Linked DNA regions of Nothobranchius furzeri. The protein of the gene in region 1 interacts with the protein of each later gene in a pairwise test. Links are inferred from orthologs where the notes say so. Each region holds a gene or a part of one and is shown in the gene's direction. Other genes may lie near its edges. The genes, in order: arl15a, unc119a1 and pde6d.

Evidence for each region.
Region 2: the proteins of arl15a (region 1) and unc119a1 interact in binary tests that used the Homo sapiens proteins (3 or more experiments, as listed by UniProt). The link is inferred for Nothobranchius furzeri from reciprocal best matches to the Homo sapiens genes ARL15 and UNC119.
Region 3: the proteins of arl15a (region 1) and pde6d interact in binary tests that used the Homo sapiens proteins (3 or more experiments, as listed by UniProt). The link is inferred for Nothobranchius furzeri from reciprocal best matches to the Homo sapiens genes ARL15 and PDE6D.

What each region holds. Positions count from the first base shown.
Region 1 is NC_091757.1:56,429,077-56,432,731, reverse strand, and holds part of arl15a (ADP-ribosylation factor-like protein 15a), read left to right. Parts: intron 1-996; coding exon 997-1,205; intron 1,206-3,655.
Region 2 is NC_091753.1:37,598,287-37,602,041, forward strand, and holds the start of unc119a1 (protein unc-119 homolog A), read left to right. Parts: upstream 1-1,059; 5' UTR 1,060-1,485; coding exon 1,486-1,609; intron 1,610-3,755. UniProt on the Homo sapiens protein: Involved in synaptic functions in photoreceptor cells, the signal transduction in immune cells as a Src family kinase activator, endosome recycling, the uptake of bacteria and endocytosis, protein trafficking in sensory neurons and as lipid-binding chaperone with specificity for a diverse subset of myristoylated proteins.
Region 3 is NC_091756.1:55,092,183-55,095,937, forward strand, and holds the start of pde6d (retinal rod rhodopsin-sensitive cGMP 3',5'-cyclic phosphodiesterase subunit delta), read left to right. Parts: upstream 1-1,150; 5' UTR 1,151-1,356; coding exon 1,357-1,406; intron 1,407-2,918; coding exon 2,919-3,007; intron 3,008-3,755. UniProt on the Homo sapiens protein: Promotes the release of prenylated target proteins from cellular membranes. Modulates the activity of prenylated or palmitoylated Ras family members by regulating their subcellular location.

The sequences.
Region 1 (3,655 bases):
ATATATATATATATATATATATATGAGCCAGTTTTCAACTGGTTAGCCTCTCCTGTCTGCAGACAAATCAGCTGTATCTATGTTCTGTCCTCTTTCTACATTTATCATTTGTGAACGCTTCATCCTGTAGACTTTTTTTATTTGATGGATAAAAAAAACATTTTGGTTTCTAGAAAATCCTTTTTGTGCAGTTGTACGGGAAGGCCTCCACGGGGGTCAAGAGCTCATCTTAATCTACCACAGCATCCAAGAGCTCCTCTGCTTTTGTAGAGAGCCAAAGCTTCAAAGTTGACCAAAAAGTGACCTCCCTCGGTTACTCACCTGACTTGAATCATTTAGAGAACTTGAGGACTCTTCGTGAATGCTAGAGTTACAGGATTACTTTGAACAACGTTTGGGAAGCTGTGGTTAAAGAGCAAGTCACCCCCAAATAAACTTTTTTTTGCTGATAAACTAAATAAACGAGTGTCTAATCGTGCTGCAGACACGTGTAGTCAATAATTTGGCATTTCAGTGCATCTTGGTTAAAATTTAAATTTTCTGCCTAAAATTGGCAGTGTTGTGCCGTTGTCAGGTAAAAACTCTGCACTGTATTTTAATTTAAATCTGCCACCGCTATTGGCTAAGAGGTATGCTATGATTAAAACTGGTACATTATGATGTCACAATGCTGTCGTGAGCCTGTGTGTGTGTGTATTTGTTAGCAGCTCCGCCTTCTCAGTCTGCCAGGCAACAGCATTTGTTGCATTTTTCAAACATGAAGTGAGAGTGGAGTTAGACTCTGGTAGGGGTTGACTTGCTCTTTAATAATTCACTGAAAGCTGATGACAAACAGATCAAGAAACTGGGTGGGTTCCATGTTACCACTGTCGTTTGTTACAAAATGTCTGTACAGTACCTTTTTTTGAGACATTAACCCTTTTCTTATGACAGCCACAACTTTATTTATAAAAGAGCTGTGTTTAGAAATTAAAACTGCCTCATATTTGTCTGCAGGAGCTGACAACATCAAGAAATACTGGAGTCGGTACTACCAGGGGTCACAGGGTGTAGTCTTCGTACTGGATAGCGCCTCATCGGACGAGGACCTGGAGGCGGCGCGGAACGAGCTCCACTCGGCTCTGCAGCACCCACAGCTCTGCACACTGCCTTTCCTTATTCTTGCCAATCATCAGGACAAACCTGCAGCAAGAACGCCGAGTCAGGTAATCTGACCTCTTTACAGTGTTGTTTTAAATATTTTTGAAATTTCCTCTTATGCACCATAAGAACAACCCCTTCCACACATTTCATCTGAAAAAAAAAAAATACAGTTTGGCGTATTGGACGTTGCACACATGCTGACATACTCATCGTTGAACTTCTCTAACAGAGAGAATGAATGTTTTCACTTTCACTGCTTTAGTTACACAATCTGTGTTCAGTGTAATCACTTGTCAGTCTTCTAACTTAATAAAGAATTACAGTTTAATGGTTTAGAGTGAATGCGATTGCACGACCCTGCGAACGGAGGTTTGGATTTGTTGGACTCAACCTTGGTTAAACCTTCCAAGGCAAGTAGTTCCCTCGAGCCATAATTAAATCCATCGACAGATTCTTTTAGAAAATATTTTGGCTGGTAGGAGGAACCGCACATTGAATTGGAAAACCAGTGTCTACACCTGCAGCCTGGCCTTGAACATGCAGGCAAGTCCACTGTGAATGGCCTAATGGGGTAGATAACGCTCAGCCACTCAAGAAGTAATGGAAACTACTGGTGTCTGTGCCAGAGAGCTTAAAGGAGACGTGTTGATTCACACATTAGACCTCAGTTTGCTTCTACAGAAGTTACCCTGCAAGGGTGACACCCAACCACCCCAGCAATGACGAAGAAGAACAAAGGTGCAATGGTGGCTCAGTAATCAGCAGGGTATCTGCGGGTCCTTGAAAAGTCTTAAATTAGCTTTTCCAAATTTAAGGCCCTAAAAATCCTTAAAAATGACAAATAATCCTCAAATACAGTTTCCAAAGGTCTTAAATTACCAAAGACCCAATAAAAAAGATTATTTTATTTCTACAAAATTTTTGTGAATTTCTAGTTAGTGTTCAGCTTTTTTTGTGTACGATGTTGCCGTAAGCGGAACCGTACACACTCAGCTGGTTGTGAAAGGGGGCTATTTTTAGATGAGCACATTAGCTGGTTAAGCTAGCGGGAGCTTGCGCCATGGGGAAGTGCAAGTTTAATGCTAACTGGATGGCTAATCCCACGTTCGCGACGTGGTTAGCACCGGTTCCAGGCAATAGCTGGAAATTATAGCTTAGATTAAATTTTTAAAATAGCTTAAATTTGGTCAAAGTGGCCTTAAAAAAGGTCTTAAAAGTCTTAAATTTGACTCCCTTAAACCTGCAGATACCCTGAATCAGGTTCCAACCCAGTCAGTTATGTCAGTCGTTTCCTTCACTTTCTTCTCCTGCTAGTGGTGGCCGGACGGACCGGTGGCACCCGTTTGCCCGTAAAACATTTGTTTCATGCCTCTGGCTTTCTAGCGTTCCAACATTGTTTAGCTATAAATATATCGTAAAGGTAAAAAACAGGAAACAGTTATGAACTGCTTTCTTACATTCATTTAAAAACCTGATCCAATAGGTTGGCTCTGTCCGAAACCAACGAATGGACCATCTGGTTGCCTGTCTCACTGGACCACCTCACTTCCACATTTACCTGGGTCCGCCATTCATCACGCACTCGCACATTTTGCAGCAGAACACCTCTGTTGTGGTGTGAGAGGTTTGCAGCTCAATAAAATCAGAGAAGGAGAAACAGCCAGCTGCTACCACTTCTACTTTAGGACAAACTAACAGTCCCATAAAGAAAAACATCGTTTGAAGTCACAGACAACAAAATACGTTTGGACCCAGAAAACTGTGACTGGTCTAGAGGGGTCTCTCTCTTACCGGGGCAATGCGGATTCCTGTTTATCCCCTCCAGGCCTAGGGATCATATCAGAAGGGGAGAGACTTCCGTAATCATGTTTGTGTTTAAATGCTAGCTTGTGTTGCAGATGTGCCATTTCAGCTTTAATTTGCATTTAAGGCTATTTATTTTAACAATTGCTTTTCCCAATAAAGATCTATTTGAATATGCTTTTTTACCGCTTTGCAGCAACAACGTCTTTTCTCACTCAAAAACTATGATTTGCGTCGGGAAATTGATGAACAAGCCACTGACCTCCTCATAAATATAGTTCTACGGACATTTTTTCTAGCTCTGCTCTAACTCACTGACAGAAAGGGCCCTTTATTGTAGGATGTTATGGCTAGCATTCCCTGTGCAAAGCACACACTTGTGCCTGACACCTCACTTCTCTGCACACTCACAAACTCCCCTCACATTAACACACACACACACACACACACACACACACACATCACCTGTTTAATGATTCTGATGGAGAACTATGATGAACGCCTGGAGAGAAGACCATCTGTGTATCTCACCGTAGACCACCGGCGTAGCTGCTTTTCAGTAACATGAAATCTGCAAAGGGAAATGTGAAGTCGTACACCTGATCCATTCGTGTCTCAAAGCTTTTAATCCCCCTGATATAGTTGGGTTAGGTAATGATGTGGATATGGTGCGCTGGTGTACAACCCACTAAAGTCACAGAAGCCCCCT
Region 2 (3,755 bases), on another chromosome or scaffold:
ATATTTTTCTTTATTATCAAAATGTACAATGTCATCAGTTTTATATTTAATACATTCATCATGAGCAGCAAAAACAACACTTCAGGTGCATGAATTCAGGCAGGAATTTCTTTGTCTTTCTGCATAAATATTTGTGTAACACTAAACTGACAGGGGTGTAAGGTAAAGTTTAAAAACTGATGTAAAATCCCGATGATTTGAACCATTTTTTGACAGGAGCAGAAGATTACTGCTGTCATGAAACTCAAATCAGAGGTTTTTATGAACTTCATTTTAAGATCCTTTACACTGCTGTCAAATCATCCAGCTTTATTCCAGAGAAAAATAAATGTCCACGTCATAAAACACTAAAGATAAAATGAAAAATAGAATGAGCATTAAGAATCTGTGATAAAAAATTGAATGCATTCCCGGTAACAAAGCAGATTGTTCCAATGTCTAAAAAGGCTCAAGTAATGGGTTTTTTGTTTTTTTGTTTGTTTTGTTTTGTTAGTTTTATTTTGTTTAATTTTGTTTTGTTTTGTTTTTGTGTTGGGGTGTTTTGGGTAAAAACGATGAGGAATGCCTGCTAAACCTGACATTGGAGTCACCAGGAAGTGCTACAGCATGTTGCTGATAGTGCTTGTAAATAACTGGAGAGTTTCATTTAAATAAATTTGTAAAGCTGTGCACAAACAGTAAAAACTATTTTGAGGAAAATCAGGAGGTTGGGACACTTTAAGGAAAGCAGAATAACTCAGACAAGTCCAACAGTCCTGTTAGGATGCGAGCTGTATTTCTCCAAACTGAGGCCGTTCAGGAAGCTAACAATGCGCAGAGAAAAATGGCATGGTAATAACACGATGAGTATATTATTATTATTATTATTATTATTATTATTATTATTATTATTATTATTATTATTATTATTATTATTAAATGAGCACTGTTAATTGTTTTCCTCTGGGATTAAATAAAGTATTTTTGAATTGAATTGAATTGAATTAATGGTGCCTCCTGGACTATTATATTTACAGCTTGTGACCGTATGTCTTTAGTAAAGTTCCAGCTGTGTTGTTTGGGCTGTGCCGTTTCACCAGATCAGGATCCAAAGATAACCTGGAAGAGGCAAACACATCTCCGAGGTGGGAAACCAGTCAAAGCCAAGTGGTGCATCAGCAGATAAAAAGGGAACAGACGGGCAGTCGTGCGCCATGCCTGCTTTAGAGCAGGATTTGGATTAAACAGCTTGTGAGAGGAAAGCAGGGAGGGAGGGAGCTGAGAGCTGACTTAATTTTTTTTCTCCAGCATCTAGAAGGGGGGTAGGCACCGAGAATGAGTTCTTCTTGAAGCAACACGGAGCTGGTTGTCTGCTTTGCTGCACGATGATTTAGCCAGCGCGCGCAACTAAACGCTCCAACGCATCCGTTTTTTACGACAGCATCACCCAAGAAAAAGCTTCAGTTCGTGGCTGGTCGCGCGCCGAGCTCCCGTCTTCTGCAGGACATGAAAGTGCAGCAAGGCTGCAACTCATCAGACATGGGGATTCCGGTGAAAACCGAGGAAGAGCTGCGTGGAAATACCGTAATAACACCTGAGGATGTGCTCGGGCTCCAGAAGATCACCGAGAGTGAGTAACCTGCTGTAATGGGGGGGGGGGGGGGGGGGGGGGATTATCACAAGACCATTGCTACCATGGACAGCGACACAGCCTGAGACGATAAGAGTGTCTTCACAGCTTTAGTGTGCAAGCAGGTTCTTCTTGTTCATAAGCAGCTGGTTCATTATTTCAAATTTTCTGCAATTGATTTTGTTGATTTTACTTTTTATTACCTTTAAAAGCGTTTGTTCACTGACAGAATAAGGATAAACGAGCCCTGGAGACATGAAACAACTATGAAGAAAGTTGGCTCTTACCACTGCTTTACCTGAAGACACCTGCAGCTCTGACTTAACAGGTGTCCAGGGATGTGATCCTCTAATTATAGCTCAGTGGAACAAAAACAGGTTGAGTAACTATTACTGTGCTGTTCATCATATAAGAGAAAATGTGTTGACGCTACGTCAGCTGGACTCAGACAAAGTCTGACTCTTTCATTGAAACATTTTCTCTGTGGAGACGTGTGGACGTCAGACTTTTGTCTGAGTGCTGAGGGAAATGTTACACACTCAGGCTGAATTTAGCAATAAACACAGAGCATATTCCATATTTGTGGAGTTAGCTTGGAGCTCGCATCAACACCAAACATCTTAGAGAGATCATCTCTGGATTTAGTTTTTTTCATATTTACAGAAAATATTAACTTTACAGATCAACTTTTAGCGTTGTTGCTTTCATTTATTGCTTTCCTTTTAAAACAAGCACCGCTTACGCTGGAAGATGATTATAACCGTTTTGGAGACAAGGCCATCTTGCACAATAATGCAAGACCTTATCTGTTAGATCTCAGAGGACGCGTTGGGGATGGTATCAGACACTATCATGTGAAATAACAGCTCAATGTCCATGAAACTGATTAAAATTTCAACATCTCTATGTCCTCAGTGGCCACCTTGGATCGGTTGCAGACATCCTTTTAAAAGTTATTTTCTGAGACTTTTAATCAAATCCGTCCGATTATCAGACAGAAACAGAAACAAACATGCACATGCAGAGGCAAAAACATTATTACCTGCAGTTTTATCCACAACTCTGTGAGGAAATGTGAGCAAATCCTCACAAATGAAGCTGAAAGCTGTTAATGTAGCATTTTTTTTATAATTTTAATCAGCTGACCCTTTTAATCCAGAAGACTTTAATATTTAAGTTTGCAGGTTGCTTTAAGTGTTGCTAAACATGTGTTTATCCAGCTTATTCTTGTGTTTAATGACAACTGACAAAAATTCTAAAAACTGCTATATTGAGCGTCAGCTGCCCTGATCTCTAATAATCCGCCTCAGTATCAATGATAGTAAATCCCACATCAGGCAACTTCTCATCATGTAAACAAATAATTTACAAACGCAAACATGCTGTGTGTCAAAATAAAAAGAACAAAAACCACATTTCTTTAAATTAGGTTTACTTTTAATTTAATTCTGAATTGTTTGATTGTAAAAAGTCATTAAATCAAAATAAATGAACATGAGACGGTGGAAATAAGCTGCTTCATTGACGTTAATCTGTGTTAATAGAATAAAATTATAATTACAATTGGCATCTCCAACAAACAGGTCTCTACTTTTTATTTAGTAAACTTTAAGTTTAAGAGAAGCACAGAGCTTGCATCAGTGTGTTAAATCCTAAATCACTTATGATGGTGTACTAATCTCTGCTCTCCAGTGACATGTAATCTGGATTACGTCAGGATGGCTGTAACACTGCCTTCTGTAATGATTACACACAGGTAATAAATAACACTGGATTAAAATGATAATAGAACACCCGAAACCCAAAAATAGCAACAGTCTAAGATTGTTCCTGGTTGTTTTTATTCCACACCATGACAAATCCATGCTGTAATCCAGCAAGACTTCTCGGTTATTTCAGACACTGATGGAAGAGATTTTAAAATGTCAGAATTGCAAAAACAATCAGAGATTTTTGAGGGCACATTTCGCCATTCTGCTGTCACCCAGATTCACCCTGTCACACTTTGGTTCGATGTTCAGAAGTGGAGCAGGTAATCACAAAGGCAGCAACAGGAGAGAAATATAATCCAAGGATAAGAAAAGCACTCTGGGAACAGGAGCAATGAAAAATGATTATTTTTCAAATAAAGGCCTTAACACAAGTG
Region 3 (3,755 bases), on another chromosome or scaffold:
AGGTAATTAAAGATCCTGTTCCAACTGACTGGAACCCATCCTATTGAAGCATGCTGCATGGAAGGCTTGTGTTGGTTTGTACTTTTGACAAGTTTACCCTGCCAATATGGCGGAATCGCTTACGTTTTTAAACAAGTTTTATTTAACCAATAAAGCTTACAGGCTTACATAAGAATCAATATTTACAGTTGAATTCTGAGCATGACAAAATAAAGCAGGTGTACAAACAGAAACAATAATATTAACCTAGCTCAATATCAACCTGCAGAAATCATAACTATATATATATATATATAAATATATATGTGTGTGTGTGTGTGTGTGTGTATATATATTACATCAACATTTTTAGGGGTAAAGGAAACATTTACCAAATTGTTATAGAGCCAAATGGCTTTCTTGGAACTACATAATTTAAGAGAATCCATAAAGGATGCAAGTTCTTTAAAAAAAAAAACAATAAAGATCGGTTTGATGTTGCCAAATTTACATTTGTGTATAAAGAATTTGGCGAAAATAATCAAATTATTGACAGTGAATTGCTGCATTTTATTTTCCAAACTAATACCATTCTTGATGTCAGAAAAAGATAAGGAGCGTATAATGAAATTATTATGCGTTAACCACGAGTGAAAACTATCCCAGAAAATTTTGGTAAAGATGCATGTGAAAAATAAATGTATCTCAGTGTCTATATTAGAAGTGCTAAAGGCACAATTGTTCTCTCCAATATTAAATTTAGACTGCAAGAAATCTTTGCAAGGATAAATACTGTTTATAGTTTTAAAATGAACTTCCTTGGCTTTAGGAGGGATTGGGAATTTGGGATAGTTGCATCTAATGTTTTTAACATCAGAATTACTAAATTGACGCACTAATTCCCGTCTTCTAAGAGGTAAGGGAAAGAGGGCGTCAGTGAGCCAACATCTAAGGATTTTATTATTGCAGTTCCTGTCCACAAAAGAACAGTTCTTAATTGTTAAAGGATGCATTTTTGGAATAAGGTGAGAGTACGGAATCGCTTACGGAGGAAACTGGTGTTTGGTTTTAACGGCGAAACGCTCTATCCGTTTCCGTCCCGCCTACTTTTCTTTCACGCGCTGTGATTGGTTCGTAGTAGTTCTCGTTCCCACTGAGTGGCTGTGAGAGCTGTCTGTCCGTGGGCGGGTATGTTTAGCTGATTGCATTATTGGAATCGGATTTATCCTGTAGTCTAACTGTTCTGGATTAATTTCGTATTGCCTGCTCTATTCCTGGCGAATTTCGACTGTCCGGTTGGCCTGCTACGATAAAGTTAACGGCGTCATTTCCCCCCCACATTCTGGATAATCGGTAATAAACGGAAACTGTCCCGAGATGTCTCGGAGTGAGGAAAGGGCCAAGGAGATTTTGAAGGGCTTTAAACTGTATCCTTCCACTGGGTGATGGTAATGTTTTTCACGGTTAAGCTTGATGTGTTGTTATAACTACTGCTGCAGTTAGAAGTCGGCTCCTAAGATTCTAAAACAGCTAGCTGTTCATGCTAACTAACCGTTAAATGGCAAAATTTCCGACGTGCTAACAACCTGTAAGTTGCTGCCTGTTGGTGTGACTGATTAAATTCGGTTTTATGGGGCTGTTACCGATCAAACATGTTGTCTGAGCGTGTCGTGGAAGCTGCTAGTTCCGTTAGCTCCATATGTAAGCAGCTTTGCGTGAGGACTTCAGGTGGATTGGTGCTGCAGCTGGCCCCCTGTGTGTGCTGCTACCCAACCTGAACAGGACCTTTGCTAGCAACCGTTTCTTTTGGCTGTACCTTTTAAAAGTCCTTGAATCAAACTAGAAACTTTTAAGTGGTTCTGCCGCAGAGTGGAACATTCAACTCCACCTTTAATTGGAGCCAAAGTTTTGGCCACGAGCACCGTCTTGATTTTGAGGGAGGAAAATATTTCATAAAGTCAGCACTCTGTTCACTGTAGCACCAAACGTGAGTTCATCATGACAGCTGTGTGGTGTGGTGATGACTTTTATAATGTTTTACGTGATGACAACAAATATTGTAAGAGGTGATTTCTGTGGCATGTTCAACTTTACCGGTGAACCCCATCAGCACCTCTGCCATCTGGTCGGATTCTAGAGAAAATCGTCAATCTCATCAAAAGAAAATAAAAAAATGCATTAATTTTAATATATTTTGTTTGCACGAAGCAGGAGGAATAGTTTACTTGAGGAAGCTGGGATGTCCGTAAGTGATGCCATGAGCTGCAGCTGTTACTTTTTTCAATCTGTGATTTTACTCAAATGCTTATAGATATCCAGACACTGCCCATGTTCTGAGTCGTCTGAGTTTAGAGGGAGTTTCTAGGTTGGATGGTGTTTCAATCAATCATTTTATTTATAAAGCCTCTTCCCACCCCCAATGAAGGGGGTCCAAGGTGCTGAACATAGTGCAAAGAAGCAGCACAATAAAACAGCTCTATAATAAAATACAGAGATGAAAACATAAAAAAACAATTAAAAAAAAGAGGTTAAAACAATTTAAATAGTGATCGAAAACATTAAAATGTAAATAAAAACAACGAAGAAACAGATCTCAAATGCAGCTTATGCCTTGCTTTAAAGGTGGGCAGCGATGTGGACTGTTTGATTTCTTGTGGTTCCAAAGCCGAGGACCCCAGAACTGCAAAGGCACGAACAACTGTAAGATGCCAGGAAGCTCATAATTTCAGCGAGATTTAAATATTTCCCATTTGTTCCCAGAGAATTTTGCAGACTGTTGCTGTTTGTTGTTGGACCTTTTCTGAGAAACTGGATTAAATGTTTTTTTTCTGGTTCAATGTTGAATTTTGCCCAGGAACAATCAGGGTGGGTGCAGAAAGGGTCTGGTTCCATTTCTCTTTGCCGTGTTTGCCTGTTTTTACTTAACATCGTGCTGGCAGAAATTGGATGAACCTTCGGGATGCAGAGACGGGTAAGGTGCTGTGGCAGGGAACAGAGGACCTGTCTGTACCTGGAGTCGAACATGAAGGTAAATCGCAGCATACATTATACAGTAGATGGGTAAATGACACGCTCATTACTTTTATTTGAGACTCCATATGGGAGTAAAAACAAATTGGCACAAAGTGTGACAAAACAAAATTCACATAACCGCTTCACATTCCTCAGATCTCTCAGCTCGCTTATCTTTGATTTTAAAGGAGAAACATGTTAAACAAAGGGTAAAGAGGTGATTAAGAAAATAATCTGGCAAATACTTTGAGTTTCTGACTACCTCTACATTTCTACGCCCAAAAAGCAAATTCAACTAATCTCCCACACAACCAGTGCCTTATTTAACACCCATTTAACCAATCAACGTTCAAAAGAATTACCAAAAAGGGACACTATCTCTAATGATAAAAGTTAGGATTTGTTTTTGCCCTCCTTTTTTTTCTGCAGCTGAATTTTTTTCCCTCTATTTCCAAGTTTAACAAATCAATAATTATATTATTAGACTCTATTCACAGCTGTTCTAGATCATTTCAACCCTCAGGAGGCAGGCGTTGCAGATTTGCAACGTTAAAACCTACCTACCTGGTTACTCCACATACGTATTTCATGAGCAGTTTTTCCTTTTATCAAAACTTATTTTAAGCTCGAGAGGGTTAATAAAAAGTAAATATTCAGTAGTGATGGGTTTCACCCTGTCCTGTGGGCTCCAAAACAAATCTGATGGTTGATAATATCCAGTAGTTTGGACGTGTTGACCTAACCGTGATGTCTCCTCTCCTGTC